2 linked regions of the Caenorhabditis elegans genome follow. The protein of the gene in region 1 purifies or fractionates together with the protein of each later gene. This does not show direct contact. Each region holds a gene or a part of one and is shown in the gene's direction. Other genes may lie near its edges.

Region 1 (6,341 bases):
CACATTATACGACGAAGATCCACAAGTGACACCTCCAGTCAGGGGTACTGTAGCTGATTGGAGCGTCTCACAGTAACGAATGACAGTTGGGGTCCAATCTGGAAATTATTTTTATTTAAGAAATCATTTGTGTCACGTGGTGTCAGGCTCTTCCCATCACGGTTTGATCTACAAAAAATGCGGGAATTTTTCGCCCTAAAATGTGACGTCAGCAGGCAAAATCAGTTGAGAACTCTGCGCCTCAACTCCCGCATTTTTTGTAGATCTACGTAGATCACGCCGAAATGGCACGTTATTGGGTCTGCTAAATCAAAATTTGAAGTTTGTAGGCTAGCAGACCCATCCTAGACTCACTTCCATACAAGCTCAATTGTGCCAAGGAAAATGGGACAAAAACTAGTAGAATAAGCCGCGAATTTACCATTTTCAGCCAAAAAATGACCGATAATACATCCATTATTGAACTTTATAGTTGTCAGGCGGAGACTAACGTTTGCTTACAAAACATCACTTTCAAAAAATCGTGAGAAAAAAAAACGAATAAACACAATAAGAAGAAAGTTGATGATGATAATCTTTATGCTATTCCGAATTGGAATTTTTGAATACGAAGTGGAACGATTCTCGAAGCAAAAAAAAACTTTTTTACAGGTGTTCGAGAGGGAAAATAAACAGTAAATGTCGTGGGGGGTGTAGAATAAATAAAGAAATAATTGGGCCATTTTCAGTGAATCTTGGGGAAAAAGTAAAGTGCGGTGCAGAAAAAACAAGTAGATCAGGGGAACTTTCAAACGGGGAATAATGGGGAAATTTAGGAGCTGGTTGTTGGCTCTTCCTCGGCTGGAGCAGCTTCCTCATCGTCGTCGTCGTCGTCAGCTTTTCCGGGCACCCAGAGTCCAGAGGCGATGCATCGATCGAAATGGTACTTGAAGACCTGAAAATTTGGATTTTTGGATGTTGAAATTAGATGAATTTGGCTAAAAATAATAGCCTACAAACTACTAATTTCGATTTAGCAGACCATAGGTGGTTTTGAAGAAATTTGGTCTGCTAGACTACAAACTACAAAACTCGATTTAGCAGACCAAAATTAAAAAATGCCTGTTTTCAGCTTAAAATTTTGATTTTTGATTCGTTTTTTTTTGGAATACAATGTTAATTCACTCAAAAATTTGAAAATAGATCAATTTTCCCCCGAAAGTTCAGATTTTTTCAGGATTTTATATTAAAATACGCACTTTTGTCTTAAAACACAAAAATCGCACAATTTTCCACTAAAAATCGCAAAAAACCTGAATTTTTGCTAATTTCTATTTGAAAAATATTCATTTTTCCGCTGAAAAATTGAAAATTTATCAATTTTTGCAATTTTCATTGCGAAAATTGAAAACTTTGGGTCTGCTAGTCTACAAACTACACATTTCGATTTAGCAGACCAATGCCATTTTGAAGAACCTTGGTCTGCTAGACTACAAACTACAAATTCCGATTTAGCAGACCAATGCCATTTGGAAGAAACTTGGTCTGCTAGACTACAAACTACAAATTTCAATTTAGCAGACCCAAATATTCACCTCTTCATCCATTTTCTGGGCGACACCCTTCAACGCCTCGATATCATGTGCCTCAAAGCACTTTCTCATCTCCTCCGGCAGCTGCTCGAACACTTCCTGTGGATCGATTCCTCCCGGAGCACTCTTCATTCGTTCGGCTTTCTCCTCGGCTTCAGCCTCCTCCATCGCGGCGTCTCTCTTCGTCTGCGCACGTGTTCTGAGACGATCCTCGAACGCCTTCACCTCATCCTGATAGTGCTTCATGTAGACCGGCTCGGCGGCTTCGAACTTCTTGAAGAATTGCTTCTGGACGGTGGTATTCGTGGCGACTGCGTTCAGCGATTTCGAGAGCTCCAGAAGATATTGAATGATGATGCATTGCTCAGCCATCGTCTTCATTTTCTCCTCATTAAAATCGATGGCGGCGTTGAGAGCCTCAATTGTGAGCCAATTTGCAGTGTACTCCGACGCCATATGCGGATGCTCGGCCAGGAACAGCTCCGTCGACTTGGCTCCGTTCTTGAGCACGGCCATCTTCTCCAGAAGGCTCTCGTGAGTCTCGAAGAAAGTGCTCATCGCATGAGTGTCCTCCTCATCGGTTTTGGGAGCTTGCGGCTTCTTCTCGGTGATCTGAAATTACAGAATTAATCAATTTGCACAGAAAAATCTTCAAAACCTTATTGATCCTCGACGTGCTGAACGCCTCATGACCGATCGTGTCGACGTTCCATGGCTCCAGACGCTCTTTCTCCTCGAGTTCGGCCTCCTTCTTGCGCCAGGCTTCTTCTTGCGCCTTCACCTCGTCGATTTGCTTCTGAATATCCGACTTGTCAGTGACATCGGCTGCGGCAAGCTTCTTCTCGAGCTCCTCCATCTTCTTGCTCGTCGTGCCCTTTTCCTTATCGATTTTCTCCTGTTCCATCTTCTTCTCGGCCATTCGCTCCAAACGAGCTTGATGGCGCCATCTGAAGAGCGACGGAGTGTCAATGTTCGGGTGAGTGTCGTCCTCGTCGTCGGAAACCTCGATATCCTTCCATTTGGAGTAGTCGATTGGCATTTTTGAGCTGAAAATCGAGAAAATTGAGTGGAAAATAAGGAATTAGCAGGAAAAGCGAGAGAAAACTGATAATCGCTGGAAAATTCCGACTCGGTTGCCACGACAACGAGGATAATCCGCGTGAAATTACGAAAACAGAAATTTCATGAAGAAAACGTGGCATTATAATGATGTTTCAAAGGATTTACGTGGAATTAACTATTTGCTGAGCAATTTTCGAGAAATTTCTTCAAAATTTCTCAAATAGAAATACTACGTTTTCTAGCGGATTTCGGCCTTTTTTTTGGCCCAAAACTCCGACAAATTGATTTTTAAAAGCCTGTAGAATTAAATTTAGACTTCTAAAAGTGGAAAAAATCGAAGGAAACCCCGAAAATAACATGAGAAAGGCGAAAAATGACTTTTGTTTTTCTTCTCGGTCCTTCTGTGGCAATGCGCGTCAGATATGGTGTTTTCTGTGTGCTTCTGCGTCACGGTGTTTGCACACAATTCCTTTTTCGCTGATTTTTTTAATTTTCAGCGCGCTGCAGCGCCATTTCTTGCATTTTTCAAGCATTTCCATTGATTTTTCCGCGAAAAAACATCTGAAATTTCAAAAAATCAATGTTAAACTCACAATTTTTCTTCTTCGCACTCGCTGTCCCTCTTGAAAACTCGCGAAATGACTGTATTTCCTTTTTTTTTCACGCAAAATTTCCAAATTTCCATGTTTTCAGGGTAGTTCAACACGTGAAAATGGCTCTTCTCACCTCAAAGCTTCGGTATCTTCTGCTCTTCTACGCAGTCTTCCAGGCTGCTCAATTTGGCCTCCGCTGGAAGTCTTATGACATCTCGCCGAAGCAGTTCAAGACTATCGCTGGAAAGGCTGCTGGTGAGGAAAAACATATTTTTCTGCGAAAATACCGCAATTTTAATATATTGTATATTTTCAGCTGCTCCAACAATCTCCCAGTCAATTTCCACATTGACGTCTGGAATGCGCACTTATTACGAGCCAATCATGCCAAGTCACTTCGAATGGCACGCTATTCAGTTGGGAGGCCTCACTTTAAGGGTGAGGAACAGGAAAAATCGAAAAAAAATCTTAAATTTAATGAATTTTCCAGATGTACCCAATGCTGACCGCTTTCACCGAGTTCGCCGCCGCCTTCTCCGCTCCGTTCCCAACTTCAGGACGCCCGGGGCTCCATTGGGCAAATACGACGTGCACCGTGTTGAAAGGAAAAGTCAGCCGATTCAATGACGGAACTCAGGACGAGACGTCGGAGAACTTTGCTTCGGGAGCCGCTTTCAGGCACGGACAGTTCGAGTCCCACGTGTACAGCTTCGAGAAGGACACCTACGTCGCGTGCTACGGTAAATTACACCGAAAATCAAGGAAAATTCGTTTTTTTTTGAGTCTGGCAGACCAATTTCGAATTAAAATCACCTGGGTCTGCTAAATATAATTTTGTAGTTTGTAGTCTAGCAGACCAATTTCGAAATCAAATCACTTGGTCTGCTAAATATAATTTTGTAGTTTGTAGTCTAGCAGACCAATTTCGAACTGAAATCGCATGGTCTGCTAAATACAGTTTTGTAGTTTGTAGTCTAGCAGACCAATTTCGAATTGAAATCACTTGGGTCTGCTAAATATAATTTTGTAGTTTGTAGTCTAGCAGACCAATTTCGAACTGAAATCGCTTGGTCTGCTAAATATAATTTTGTAGTTTGTAGTCAACCAGACCCATATAAAAATCCCCTCGTTTCTAATGAATTTTTATATTTTTCAGGTCGCGGCTTCCTCCCACTCTCCTCCACCGTCCACGTCACCTCTGGAATCTCACTCGGCGAGCCACTCTCGGTCATTCAATTCTACATGAAGCAGGCCTACAACTACTGGAACAACCTGAGCCACACCCTCTATCGTGTCTTCCAGCACTACAAGGCCCGCGCCACTGGAGAACTTTAAATAATTTATGTGATTCCCCATCCGGTGCATTTCTACAAGCATTCTAACCCGAAATTTTCATTTATTCAGTCATGTTTTATCCCAATGTCCCCCCTCTACTTCCATTTTTACGGTTGTGTAATTCGATTTCTTGAGCCATTTTATTGCATAATTTAAAATACAAGAACATATTTATTTCATCACCTCAACCATTTAACCATATAGCTCAACCGAAAAAAATAATTGCACAGGTATTTGAAGGCATTTGCAGTGAAAGATGATCAAAAGTCGCTGCTTACTCATCGTCGGCCAGCCGGACGAATCGAACAGTAGTTCTGGTGAGGGAAACCTTTGCCTTGATCCCTCTTTTGCACACAATTTGGACGTGTTGAACCATTCCATCATCCACGACCAGAGGATCTTCGTATCTAGTAAAGTCTATTCCGCGGAGAATAGTTCCATGTACAGGATGCTCAATATTCAGACCATCTACAACAAGATCACTGATTCTCAGCTGTGAGTTCTGAATCCAGATCTTCAAGAACAAGTTGACATCCTTTGCAGTCATTGAGTGGTGCAATGAACGAAGCGTTCGACTATTTGACAAGAACACCTCGTTCAGTGTGAGATTGGTGACTTTCAGCTCCTCATAATTTTGAACCAAGAGTTCTTTTCTTATTGGGACCACGACAATCTCCAGGTTCTCTGGATGAGTCCCGAAGAGATGGTGCCCCTGAACTTCCGTGGATGTGGTGCTGCAGCTCGCGATCTTCCTGTTCTCAAAGAGAGAACAAATCGTTTTTATCTCTTCATTCATCCCATTTTCGAGGTTAATGTGGATTTGCCGGTTCTGATGCAAAACCTCGTGGATGTGGTCCAGGAACTTGATAAGTGTGAGGTGAGGAATCTCGATTTCGTCTTCAGATCCTCGCATATTCCTTCTAGCTACCACCCTCGGTGGATTTTCTTTAAATATGAATAAATATCTGTCATTGAGACTGGACCTCAGCCTGATTGTCGAATCAGAGAATGTCAAACTTTCGTGGTTCCCGTTGACTCTGGCAACCGCAGTTTTCGCTTTTGCTGAGAGTAGCGAGATCGAGAATCTGAAATAACATAAGGTTTGGGAGTCAACTTGAAGCTGTTATTTTGGGGTTTCTTCCAAATTAATTCTTTAAAGAATAATAAGAGTTGGAGGTTTTGAGGTTATTACGGTTTATTAAGGATAAATTAATAGAGAAATCACCGAGTTAATGGGACATGTAAGGAGGGGAAAAGGACGATAAGTAACACAAGTAAAAGGAATTAGAGAAGACCTAGAATGAGCGTTTCCGGCTCCTTATATAGGGGAATTGGGCGGGGCCAAGAAAAGTCGAGAATGATGACAATTAGAGTTGGCGCCGGCAATTCAGATCCGCGCGCCGTCCGGTGGGGCGCGCTTGCATCGTGACCTCCAAACGTTGGCAGGCCTAGTCGTTGTCTTGGGCAGCGGTTCTGGCCGGATAACCGTGATGTTATCCGCTACGACATCACTTGCTGGACCTGTAAGACTATACGAAAGTAATGCTCTTGTATGACGGTGGGAGAGTACAAGGATCGTGAAGATTCTTACAATATCTGTCATTGAGACTGGACCTCAGCCTGATTGTCGAATCAGAGAATGACACACTTTCGTGGTTCCCGTTGACTCTGGCAACCGCAGTTTTCGCTTTTGCTGAGAGTAGAGAGATCGAGAATCTGAAATAACATAAGGTTTGGGAGTCAACTTGAAGCTGTTATTTTGGGGTTTCTTCCAAATTAA
Region 2 (4,659 bases), 6.4 Mb from region 1:
CTTGGGTTTTTAGCCCCCTTCTTTTCTCACCTCCATTGTCTACATCATAAAGACCAAAAGGATATTCTACGTCAATAGGAATTGTCAGAATTATCAGTTTTGATATCAAAAATTGCCAGCTTTAGTACAGTAGAATAACTATGCGATTCATGCTGCTTATTATTTATTCAAAATTTAAATTTTAACCAACTGTGAGTTTATTTTATAGAACATTTTTCGAAATAAAATTCAAAAAAATAAAAATTGTTATTTTTCAAAATCTTAATCTTAATTTAGCACCATTACCGACAGGCAATGATAGAACACCAAACCGGACTGACCAAGTGTCGTACCAGTTTCGAGCAATCAAGTATTGAGAGACTGATATTCTTGCTGATACTATACTCTTAAGATATGAAACGATATCTACCCCTCTAGCCCCCTACTCGTGCGCCCTCAGTTACCTACCTACCCCGTTACCTACCCTACCCTACCTACCTACTCAGTCTCCTACCTACCCCGACCGTATCATATCTTTAGAATATAGTATCAACAAGAATACCAATCACCCAACCCCAATCACTCGAAACCGTTAGGCACCAGGTTAGCCAGTCTGGATTAATCGAGAGTAAACCACTTGACTCCAGACAACTACATCTTATACTTACTTACGTCTGGGGGACAATCTTGGGATTCTCAAGATGACTTCCATTACGAAGTCTCTTGCAATAACCAATTACCACAATTTTGGAGCAGAATTAAACTCACCCACCAGTACAGGATCAAAGATGAATAATGAATGAGAGGCCCTCCTCTCATTGTTGTGGGCGGGGTCAAGGGGTCAAAGTTTTTTGAATTTCGAAATTTTGAAATTTTGGAATTGTTAAATTTTTGGAAATCTAATTTTTGAAAGAACCACATTTTCCGTTTACAATTTGAGTTCAATTCCGCAACCCCGTCAAATTTAAGAAGAGAAAGAAAAAAAACACAACGTGTTTGCACCTGTAAGGTAGTTTTTTTTTGTTGCCTTCGGCGTTTTGATTCACATGAAAGTTTCTACGGAAAAACTTTCATTGCATAACGATCTTCATATCTTGTTTCTGGAAACGAAAATTTCCAACATGAAAGAAACCCGACGCTATTTATTCTCGCAACACAAAAATTTCACATTTAAATAACCGCGGTTTTTCTCGAACAGCATATTTGACGCGCATTGCTCGTCAAGTTTGATGCGTGCACACTATTTTGCTGTTGTTTTTTTCTTTTTTCTCTAAATTTTCTTTACGCTTTCGTAGTTTCTATAGAAACGATTCTCCACTCCCGGTTTTCTTCCGATTCTCAAAATTAATTAAAATTTAGTTATTAAAAATCCTTTTTCTTGAAATAATCGTTCAATTTCGAGTTTTCAAGAGTGGAGACGTTGAATTTGTGAGCCGCTTATTTTTTCTGTGTTTTTGTTTTGTGGTTTTTAATCAGTGTCATAATCATACTTTCCATTGTTTCTTTATTATTCAAAGTTGTAGATTCAGTATTTTAGATCGGTGATGTTTATGAATCTTCTCACTCAGGTCTCCAACGCGATTTTTCCGCAGGTCAGTGCTTATCCGAAACATTCGTCATTCGCAACTTGGGCCTATTTGATCTATGGCGTTGTGTTGTTGCCTTTACCTTAATTATCATCATTTTCATCAGAAACCCACAAAAACTAGAGACATAGCTACAAAATTCTGCGACCGAGAGGCGGGTACACACACAATGTTGTCTATTTCATCTCGCTCCACCTTCTCTCTCTCTCTCTCGTGTTTACCATTTCTTTTTTAATTTTGCATCTATCGACTGTGATCTGCCTGTTTTTTTCTAATTCTAAACTTTTTGCCGTGATATTCCTTAGAGTGTTCCCTAGAAAATTCGTTGAATTTACAGGTCGAAGCCGCTCAAAAAATGTCGAACCGTGCTGTCGCTGTTCTTCGTGGAGAAACTGTTACCGGTACTATCTGGATCACACAGGTTAGCCGAGTTTTCCGCTTAAATCATTTGTATTCTTTTTCAGAAGTCCGAAAATGACCAGGCAGTTATTGAAGGAGAAATCAAGGGACTTACTCCCGGTCTTCATGGATTCCACGTTCACCAATATGGTGATTCCACCAACGGATGCATTTCTGCCGGTCCACACTTCAATCCATTTGGAAAGACTCATGGTGGACCAAAAGTATGGAAATTTTTTATATCGCTTGAATTATAATATTTTTTCAGTCCGAGATCCGTCACGTAGGCGATCTAGGAAATGTGGAAGCTGGAGCCGATGGAGTGGCAAAAATCAAGCTCACCGACACGCTCGTCACGCTTTACGGTCCAAACACTGTCGTTGGCCGATCTATGGTTGTTCATGCCGGACAAGACGACCTCGGTATGAACAATTCGAATTAAAAATCAATTTAGTAAACTTTCCAGGCGAGGGAGTCGGAGACAAGGCAGAAGAGTCCAAGAAGACTGGAAACGCCGGAGCTCGTGCTGCCTGCGGTGTCATTGCTCTCGCTGCTCCCCAGTGACTACCTGAATCGCGTCTCTGAATCTCCACACAATTCCTACTAAAGACAATTTTTCATTTCTTGCTTTGTCGTTATATTCTTAAGAATCCCGTTGTTCCTACTCCTACTACTGTATATTTTCACATAAAATTTCTTCAAAATTTCAAATAAAGGTTGTAGTTTCCAATTTCTATGTTTTACAAATCTCAATGTCTCTGCTCATTATATCAATACTTCACTTTTCAGTTTTGTTACCAAACTGCCATAAATGTTGTGCCAGCCGTTAAACTATCAACAAGTTCTGACGGAGAAGGGCGATTTTTCGAGCAGTTGAATAAGAATCACCTGATAATGAGGCTATTTCAAAAAACGTTTAAATATTATCGCTTTTCCCTTATTTAAGGCAGACAAAAATCTTTGAAAATATAATAATTTCTATTTTTTAATGCATTTAGTAAATTTTATTTCGAGGTCGTTCGTTTCAATTGGCATTTTCACAATGCTTCTCTTCTTTTTTTATCAGTTCAATTGATAGCGACCCGTAAAAGAAAATCACACCATTTTTATAATAGTGGACTGCAAAAAATTCGTTTCTTTCTGAATAGAGCCAGTTTTTGTGAAAATTCCTTTTTTTCAGTTTATATAAAACCTCAATTTTCAGAATGAGTGGGATTCTGGAGGTTTATGACGCAAAGCGTACGGACAATCTCATCATCACCCTCGAGGGAATTTCTGGATCCGAAACGATCAAAGCTATCAAGAAGCGAATTGCCCAGAAAAGTTTGTGAATCGAAATTTATGATTTATTAGCTAAATAATTTCAGAGCTGAAACTCACCGAAGAACGTCAGGCTCTCCGTGTCGAACCAAAGGGTAAACCATTGGCTGATGACCAAAAACTCTCCGATCTTGGACTTTCATCTCAAAAAGCAGTTTTATATGTAAGAGATCTCGGACCACAAATCGCCTGGAAGACTGTCTTCATGGCTGAGTATGCTGGACCTTTGTTCGTTTATCCGCTTTTCTATCTTCGACCAACTTTCATTTATGGACAAGGTGAGCCGGATTAATATTATTTCACACAATATCTTACATTACAGCCGCTGTCAATGCTACCATGCATCCAGCAGTACAAATCGCCTTCTTTGCATGGAGCTTCCACTACGCCAAGAGATTGTTCGAAACTCAATTCATCCATAGATTCGGAAACTCGACTATGCCACAGTTCAATTTAGTCAAGGCATGTTTCAAAAATAAAAATAAAAACAATTGAGTAAAAAGTAATAAGGGACACTAATAGTAAGTTGCAAAAGTTGCGTTGATGAAAAAATTATTTTACGCTCTACGGCAATTTTCAATCTGAAATATAGCAACAAAAAAAAACTAGTAAAAACGTTGAATATGCCTAAAATTCAAAGTTAGAATATTTCGTACAACTTTAGGTAGTTTTAGTAGAGAATTTTGAAACGGACAAGATTAAAAATAAAATTCACTAATCGATAAACAAATTTCTATTTCCTGAATTTTCAGAACTGCTCCTATTACTGGGGATTCGCTGCCTTCGTCGCCTACTTTGTCAATCACCCACTTTTCACACCACCAGCTTTCGGAGATCTTCAGGTTTATTTCGGACTTGCCGGTTTCGTGATTTCGGAGTTTGGAAATCTCTCGATCCACATTCTTCTCCGCAACCTCCGTCCAGCTGGAACCCGCGAACGTCGTATTCCAAAGCCTGATGGAAATCCACTTTCTCTCCTCTTCAACTACGTTTCGTGCCCGAACTACACATATGAGGTCGCATCATGGATCTTCTTCTCCATTATGGTCCAATCTCTTCCAGGTAAATAAAAAACTTGTAAATATAATTGATTTTATTCATAATCTTAAAATTTAGCAATCATCTTCACCACCGCTGGATTCGCTCAAATGGCAATCTGGGCCCAAGGAAAGCACCGCAACTACCTCAAGGAGTTCCCAGATTACCCAAAAAATCGCAAGGCCATCGTTCCATTTGTTCTCTAAATTATCGCATTTGCGCCGAATATTTATTGTATTTTTCATGTACTCTTGCAGTTCTATTATTACCAATCCGCTTATTTCAATCAGTAATTTATTAAATAGACAATTTCTCCAGATAAATGTTTGCTTGAAAA

What was found.
Region 2: the proteins of W08F4.3 (region 1) and sod-1 fractionate together in Caenorhabditis elegans (co-fractionation; one large-scale study listed by BioGRID). This does not show direct contact.

Annotation. Positions count from the first base shown.
Region 1 is NC_003280.10:577,276-583,616, forward strand, and holds W08F4.3 (Sigma non-opioid intracellular receptor 1), read left to right. Parts: upstream 1-3,326; 5' UTR 3,327-3,345; coding exon 3,346-3,481; intron 3,482-3,542; coding exon 3,543-3,664; intron 3,665-3,716; coding exon 3,717-3,966; intron 3,967-4,212; exon of another isoform or gene 4,213-4,279; intron 4,280-4,382; coding exon 4,383-4,561; 3' UTR 4,562-4,739; downstream 4,740-6,341. Other genes in the region: W08F4.7 (CW domain-containing protein), read right to left, coding at 1-98, 355-457; cdc-37 (Hsp90 chaperone protein kinase-targeting subunit), read right to left, coding at 812-934, 1,575-2,183, 2,230-2,617, 3,227-3,318; fbxb-14 (F-box associated domain-containing protein), read right to left, coding at 4,836-5,474; W08F4.12 (F-box domain-containing protein), read right to left, coding at 5,949-6,082, 6,153-6,277.
Region 2 is NC_003280.10:6,970,745-6,975,403, reverse strand, and holds sod-1 (Superoxide dismutase [Cu-Zn]), read left to right. Parts: upstream 1-1,516; 5' UTR 1,517-1,523; coding exon 1,524-1,571; intron 1,572-1,902; coding exon 1,903-1,986; intron 1,987-2,029; coding exon 2,030-2,188; intron 2,189-2,232; coding exon 2,233-2,386; intron 2,387-2,430; coding exon 2,431-2,528; 3' UTR 2,529-2,698; downstream 2,699-4,659. Other genes in the region: putative very-long-chain enoyl-CoA reductase art-1, read left to right, coding at 3,170-3,287, 3,332-3,562, 3,607-3,746, 4,037-4,346, 4,401-4,528. UniProt on the Caenorhabditis elegans protein: Protects cells against oxidative stress by converting superoxide radicals to hydrogen peroxide. Required for normal brood size. May be involved in regulating mpk-1 phosphorylation downstream of phosphatase ptp-2 during oocyte maturation.